Danio rerio: one gene and its partner. The protein of the gene in region 2 interacts with the protein of the main gene of each other region in a biochemical or structural test. Links are inferred from orthologs where the notes say so. Each region holds a gene or a part of one and is shown on either strand. Other genes may lie near its edges.

Region 1 (4,162 bases), about 42 Mb from region 2:
TGAACTACACTGTTTCAATTTACAATGATATTTTATGTGAAGCTGCTTTGACACAATTTACATTGTAAAAGCACTATACAAATAAAAGTGAATTAAATTAATATTATATTAATTATAAGGCCGTGCTTTATATAATTAAATTATTTTTTAGTTAATGTACAGCAAAAAAAAAAAAAAAAAGTAGGTTTGAGTTCTCTTCATTTATCGAGTTTTACTGCTAAAATTGCTTCATTTACTTAAATGTTCACAGTGCTCCTTAGAATTAGTTTTTGAACTCAAACGATTTGTTGCAATCGGCTTCCTCAAATGGTTTGAGTTCTTAACTTAGTGGGTTTTACAGTGATATTATGTACTGCCATGATGGCAAAGACAAAAGATATTCATTCATTTTCCTTCGGTTTAGTCCCCTTTTTTTTTTTCATCAGAGATTGCTACAGCGGAATGAACCACGACTATTTCAGCATGTGTTTTATATAGCAGATGCCCTTCCAGCCACAACCCAGTACTGGGAAACACCCATACACTCATACATTACAACCACAATAGTTCATCCAATTTCACCTATAGTGCATGTCCTTGGACTGTGGAGGAAACTGGAGCATCCGGAGGAAACTCACACCAACATGGGGAGAACATGCAAACTTCACACAGAAATACCAACTGGCCTAGCCGTGACTCAAACCAGTGGCCTTCCTGCTGTGAGGCAACAGTGCTAACCCCTGCGCTTTTTGCTAAGCACTGGATTATTTAAAAATAATCTTCAACTATATATAAATAATGCAATTTATATTAATCTATTTGCACAAAATATAATTTAAGCTTACAAATATGCATATATTACTGTATATTATAATTTTTCCAGAGCTGCTGTTTGGCAGATTAGGTTTGTTGGTGACAAGTTAAGCCTGGACCTGATTTTAAAAATCCTGTCAATATTTTTCTTTTTGATAAACAAAACAGTTAATGATCAAGGTCTCCTGCATAACCCTTATTAACCCTCTCTTTAATCAAAACACTTTCTATTTTTATCCTTCAATCTAATAAGAAAACTAATTATCCTGGTCTGGTATGCTCATTTGTTTTGATAGGAAAGCAGACAGGCATCAGCATGCCTAAAACACACACACACAGATACACACACACACACACGCACTTACAGTCATTTCTCTAGGGGTGGAAATTCCCAGTTTAACACTGAGTCAATTAGATTACATATTAAGGACTGTCCCACTATTCAGAGTTCATCCGTCACTAACGGTTCAATAAAACACAACACCAAACCAACATGCTGAAACACCTGATGACCTTTGAGTGTTATTTAGGCCAAACAGGCTTTTGAAAGCTATAAGTTTGACCATTTAACAGGCACATGCACACATAGGGCTCAACCTGTACAGTGCACATGCCCTTTTTAGTTTTGGATAGAAAGTGCCCTTCCAAAATGATCTGAAGTGCCCCAGCGACAACCACACCTCTCTTCTGCACACCTCAGTTGTAATGAGTGGTTATTGGAGTTATTGTTGCCTATCAATTTAATTTAGTATTTTTTTTATTCTAAGTTTGCGTTAACGTGCAATTGTACCTAATAAAGTGGCCAGTGAATGTATATTGTAATATGAATATAATTTCCTGAGGCGATTTGAAAGGCTCTATTTGGAGAGACTTTTTCTATGCACTGCCTCTTCACATCGGTCACATCCATAACGCAGAGATGCCACATCCATAATGAAGATTCTTCCTCATAAATGCAAAAATATGAAATAAAATAAAATCTGTCATGTTTGTTCTACAGTGAGCCAACTCTTCTCCTGTTAATTAGCATTTTTTGGGGGGTTGTGCAGTTTAATTCACAGAATTTCTACAAAGTATGTTATATATTGCAAACTCGCAGACTTTTTTAGTCACATCAATAACACATGTTTATGTTTTTTATTTAAAATATTAATATGTTTAAAGATTTATATTTTTCTAATCTTATAACTCTGTGGTTAGTAGCTTTGGAAAATATCAACAGATGTTTTAATATAATGTTAACTTAAACTTTCTATGTGAATTTGTGTTTTGAGTTTTTACTGCAAATGTCACATCCATAACACTGGTATTGCTCAAATATGTTATGGTTATGAGATTATTTTTACTGCTGAACACAAACACAAAGATTTTTTGAAGAATATTAGAAAAAAGTTTGATGAATGTTAGAGACTTTTAATTGACTTCCATACTAGTAAAAACAAATACTATGAAAGTCATTGGTTACTGGTTTCAAGTTTTTAAAATATATTTGGTGTATATATATATATATATATATATATATATATATATATATATATATATATATATATATATATATATATATATATATTCTTCTTTTAAGTTCAACAGATGAAAAAAAAACTAAAACAGGTTTGTGATTGACGAAGGGTGAGTGAATGTCAAATTTTCAGTTTTGTGTGGACTATCCCTTTAAATTATTAAGTTATTATAAAAGGTAAAGGTGTTCCTGAGTTTAATGAAGCACAAATAAACATTTTACTTATTAAGGCTACATTTATTTCTTTTTAATAATATACTTACGTGATAAGAATTTAAGTTTAATAAACTACAGTGACTTGAATCTGAATGAAATTTTAGCACTAAGTTAATTAATCAAAATCATTAAACACGAGCACTTGTGCTCATTGAGAAAATGCTAGTATGATTTAATGGTAATTTAATATACTAAAACATTTTTATTAATCGGTTGATGTTTGTGTTACGTCACGATCACAAAATTGTGTGTGTATTTTGCCTAAATGAACTAACGTTAAACGGCCTATATCTGACCAATACACAAAACTAACAAAATCTACCTTTATCCAGCGCTTTTTCGGCCTCCAACGGTTTAACTTCAAGTGCATTGCTGAATCGAAAAACATTTTATTCCTCCTCCTTCGTTAGCCATTTTACACGATAAATCCTCTGAATAAACCAACTGTTGATTTGATTCAGGTGTGCTCGAAGTCAACAGGAGGACGCCATTACCGGCCGCTACTTTCACAATGACGTCACTTCAATTGTAGTCTCTGTGTAATTTCTGAGGGTACATTTACACTAAAAAAGTATTTTAATTTGCTCATTCGACGTGCATGACGACAACATTGTTAATACGATCACCATTTTACGAGATTTCACAAAAATGATACGAAAAACACTGCAAAACGCCTGTCATACGCATGAGGTCATTTTTTAGACATGTATGTTGATGTAGCTTACACACATAACACACACATTTTAATTATTCATTCATCATTCATTTTCTTGTCGGCTTAGTCCCTTTATTAATCTGGGGTCGCCACAGCGGAATGAACTGCCAACTTATCCAGCAAGTTTTTTACGCAGCGGATGCCCTTCCAGCCGCAACCCATCTCTGGGAAACATCCACACACACACACACACTCATACACTACAGACAATTTAGCCTACCCAATTCACCTGTACCACATGTCTTTGGACTGTGGGGGAAACCGGAACACCGGGAGGAAACCCACGCGAAGGCAGGGAGAACATGCAAACTCCACACAGAAACGCCAACAATTGTAATTATTATAATTTGAATAATGAAGCTTTTGTTATTAACCTATTTATTTTGTTAATTAAGTGTTATATTCATAAGTGTACATTTTCCAACAAAAAACCTGTTTTACTGTGTTTTATAAGAAACTGAAAAATTACTTTTGCACTGCAGCATAGTGCTAATGGAAAGGCCATTAAAACTGTCCAACTTTGTTCTAGTTTCAATATTTTTGATTAATGTTAAGGTCCTGCTTATTCATATTTGTAAGAATTTTAGTTAAGTATTAATACTCTTGTTTTTATGTTTGTTTTATTTTATTTTTTTAATTTTATGTATTGATGCTATAATTTACTTTCTATCGCCCTGGCATTGTTGTGTTTACTATATTGTCATGTATGTTTTTAAAGCATAATAATAATAAAAAATAAATAAATACACAAAAATGTATTTTGTTTTATTTATATAGATATAATAGCTATATATAATAGCTATATATATATAATTGCTATATATAGCAACTTTTCTTCTAAAATAAGCATTTTTCTGCAACTCCTGTGTGTAGGCTCAGTAATTTTACATTTATAGTGACGGATAAGTTCTTTTCATTGC
Region 2 (4,360 bases):
AAAATGTTTTGACTTCTAGGGATATAGAAGAAACAGACCTATGCATATATAAAGTAAAATTTTTATTACAGTATAACAGGTCTACATATTACATTCTGTGTGGGCTTTGCATGATGTCGTCATATTGGCGTGGGTTTCCTCTGCGTGCTCCGGTTTCCCCCACAAGTCCAAAAACATGTGCTGTTGGTGCATTGGGTAAGATAAATTGTCTGTTGTGTATCAGTGTATGAGTGTGAATGAGTGTGTATGGATGTTTCCCAGTGATGTGTTTCCACTGCGTAAAACATGCTGGCCCCGGATTATAGAGGGACTAAGCTGAAAAAAGGAATAAATGAATGAGTGAATACATTATATTTTTTATATAATTATTTAAATATTTAATTGCATTATATTAAAAAAAATCTGACAATGTTAAAAGTTTATTTACGTTAGGTCCGAAAGACTAGCCCATTGTTCTTCAACAAAATCTTATATTAATAGCAAAATAAATATGTACAAATGTATTTGTGAAAAATATTTATCTATAGGTTTTGATATGAAATATAGGCTACAAGACATATAGCCTGTTTGTAAATGTTTTTGTAATTTAAAAAAAATTCAACTTTAAGAAATACACAAATGTGTTTTTTTTCTTCCGGTGGTGGGTTGCAGCTGGAAGGGCATCCGTTGCATAAAAAATGTGCTGGATAAGTTGGCGGTTCATTCCACTGTGGTGGCCCCAGATTAATAAAGGGACTGAGTCAAAAAGAAAATGAATATATATATATATATATATATATATATATATATATATATATATATATATATATATATATATATATATATAATTAAATTATAATTAAAATACATATAAAATATAGGCTATATTTCTTATTTAAATATGCAAATATTTAGATCTCTTTTATACAAGAGCTATATACAAGGCTAAATATAAAATTAAACAATTACTATAAAATACAAAATATAATCTAATAAAATAGTATAAAACAAATATTATACTCTCTTATAGTATATGTATGAACATTGTTAGTAAAATTGTGTAAAATGAACTATGTAAATTAAAGTATTATACTCAGTTTTCTAAACACACAAATAATACATATAAAATTGAATATAAGAAATATTAAATAAAATACAAAGTTTAAAATGTTGAAATGTAATCAAATTCTAAATATAACAAAATAATATATATAAAACAAACATGTATTTATGTTTGTATATAAAATGTAATTAATTGAATAATGACAGATAACTAGATTATACAGTGGGAAAATAGATAATATATTTTATATAGATTATAATAATATAATATATTTTATATAGAATAAATTGTAAATCAGTTATCAGATATTTTTTTCTAAATGGAAGTGTTTCACGTCTGCTCTGATAGCAGTGTTTTTAAATCATCCTCGGTGTTTTTCTTCAGCGTCTCCTTATGTTGTCATTCCATCAGTCTGCCGCATGAGGACGCTTCGCCTCTTTTCTTTTATAAATCGGCCCCCACATCGAACAATCGGATCCCGGAGACAATCTGAAGAAGACGAGGCGTTTCCAGTCGCTGTCTGGTCTGCTGTGCCTTCCTGACCGTCTCACGTCGCCCTTCTCCATGATCGGAATACGAAAGGAAAACCGCTAAACGAACAATTTCCCAGCTCGGTGGATCATGGAAACGGAGAAAAACCCTGAAACGAAGATCAAAAGATAACGTAAGGCGAGGAATATGACGACAAATGGACATATTTTTAACAGTCGGCGATCTCGAAGCGGATGTTTCCCTCTTCAGAAACTGTGTGTTACCATCCAGGAGGCTCGCGGAGTCGGGATGTCCCATATAACTGCGCTAAACTCCGATTAGGCAAATGTATGGGACTCGTGCTCTGGAACAAAGGGGAAAACAAAGTTTGACGTGATTTGTTAATTAGCTTCGTTACTACAGACACAGACTGCCAGTAGTCAGATTTCACACTCATCAGCTTACATTTTATGGGGGAAAAAACTAAACAAAACAATGAAGCTTACCGCAAGAAGATAGTTTTCATACTATTTTATAGCCATTCTGAAAGGATGAACATCAGCTTTTGAAAAATATATATGATGCTGGAGTCTCCAAAGCACACATCTTCTTGCCTGGTTGGACTCTGAAACCTGGACAGCTGTATAATTAATTGAGGATAAAGCCGAATATACTGTATTTGAAGAAAAAGGAGAGAAAAAACATGGCAGTTGAAGGCCGAATAACAATTCTTGACGTTGGACTGATTGCCATGGTGGTTCTTCTGGGTCCTGTGGCTGGTAAGTAGTAGTTAACAGATAGTAGCAATAGAAAAAATGACAGCAAATATTATAGAATTACAGTAGAATTGCTGTCCACACCCTGGTTTTCCAAATCCCTCCACATCCTCTCAAAGTCAAGGCGTAATTAATTGTATGTTACAGTGTGTGTGTGTGTGTGTGTGTGTGTGTGTGCGCGCGTCCTGTCAGTGTTGTGGTGAATTCACTGCCACCCACATCCATCAGGAACTCTTCATTTCCTGAGAGTGAGTGCTTGTGTATTTGTGGATAAAAGTAACAAAGCGAGGTGTGAGAGTCAGTAAAACCACACTTTTTATGTTGTTGTGTGTGGATGTATGTGTCTACACACACACAATCACACACACATTAAGTGTAAATGTGGATTTATGTTTTTTTCCCTATTTATTTTAACCAAAACAGTATTTTTTGTTGACCTATTGTCATTTTATTTTATTTATTATATATATTTTTTTACAAATAAATGCTGTAATAATCGATTTAGTAATATCTAATTGAAAATGTGGAAATTATAAATACACATTAACAGTAGCTTACATAATTCATTTCATTTTCTTGTGGGCTTAGTCCCTTTATTATTAATCCGGTGTTGCCACAGCGGAATGAACGTTAACTTATCCAGCAAGTTTTTACGCAGCGGATGCCCTTCCAGCCGCAACCCATCTCTGGAAAACATCCACACACACATTCACACACACACTCATACACTACAGACAATTTAGCCTACCCAATTCCCCTGTACCGCATGTCTTTGGACTGTGGGTGAAACTGGAGCACCTGGAGGAAACCCACACTAACGCAGGGAGAACATGCAAACTCCACACAGAAAAGCCAACTGAGCCGAGGCTCGAACCAGCGACCCAGCGACCTTCTTGCTGTGAGGCAACAGCACTACATACTGCGCCACTGCTTCGCTGTATAAAAAATTAAATTAAATTAAAATATAAGCACAGATAATAAAGAAATAATCAGTGCTTTATGTTTTTTTGGAGGAAAATTACAGTATTGAGGTAAAGAAATTTAATTATAAAATCTAAAATGACACTTTATAGTCTTCATTTGAAATTATGAATACACATTAACAGTAGTTTATACAATAATACACATTAGCACTTTACAAGCATGTACATATTAATTTAAGAGCAAAAATAACTTTGATACAGTCTCTTCCAGGGCTGCTCAATATATCGTTTAAGCATCGATATCACAATATGTGTATCTGCAATAGTCACATTGCTTTATTAGATTATTTATTAAAGATTAAAATATAAATATGTCATTTTAATATGATTGTATAAAATATTTAAACAATGATGATTGTGTTATTTTGTTCGATTGTTAATTTTTGTATTTGAATACTGTTAAATAAGCATAAAACATTGTTTATTTCACTTTTATTTTTGCTCCGTAGTATTTATATGTGATGTTAATTTCTTCCAGTTAATGCAGATTACCCAAGTCGTACTCAAGAAATCTGTCCAAATAGAGCTATTCAAATCATCTGGTGAAATTATACTCATATCGTGGCAAAACAAACTAATGCAATGTAAGATTTTTTTAAATTGTGCTGCTGTAATCTCTTTATTGTTTTTATTACAGAGCTGTAGTGCCCTGCATAAATGAATCCATTTAAAAGAAATGTATTTATCTGTGAATTGTTATCCAATTTAACAGCAAAAATCAGTACAAGGCACTCAAAAAATGTGGAAAATATCAAAAAGTCTTTATTCACATGGCTAAAGCTTAAAAACTAAACAAAAAACAAAACAGGTTTTTAAGGATTAGCCATGTGAATAAAGGTTTTTAAAATATTTTTACCCAAAGAGCTCCATATTTGGCTTCAGTACTGACTTATTTAATGCATATGTGCACATGTAATATTGTATAGCTTCCTATTGAAAATATGAATTTAAAAGAGAGATTTGTGACGGGTGTACTTATATATGCTGAGCACTGTATGTCTCTCCTTGTGTGTGTGTGTTGGCTCTGGCACAAGCCCCTGAGCTGCAGTAAAGGGCTACTGAGCATCAAACAGATAAGATAAGAACTG

The links. The genes of interacting proteins can lie anywhere in the genome.
Region 1: the proteins of bmpr2a (region 2) and gdf5 form a complex in vitro, tested with the Homo sapiens proteins (2 studies listed by BioGRID and IntAct, with this or other methods). The link is inferred for Danio rerio from reciprocal best matches to the Homo sapiens genes BMPR2 and GDF5.

Annotation. Positions count from the first base shown.
Region 1 is NC_133181.1:55,394,063-55,398,224, forward strand, and holds the start of gdf5 (growth/differentiation factor 5), read right to left. Parts: upstream 2,940-4,162; 5' UTR 2,850-2,939; intron 1-2,849. UniProt on the Homo sapiens protein: Growth factor involved in bone and cartilage formation. During cartilage development regulates differentiation of chondrogenic tissue through two pathways.
Region 2 is NC_133181.1:13,808,117-13,812,476, reverse strand, and holds the start of bmpr2a (bone morphogenetic protein receptor type-2a), read left to right. Parts: upstream 1-1,553; 5' UTR 1,554-2,216; coding exon 2,217-2,292; intron 2,293-4,360. UniProt on the Homo sapiens protein: On ligand binding, forms a receptor complex consisting of two type II and two type I transmembrane serine/threonine kinases.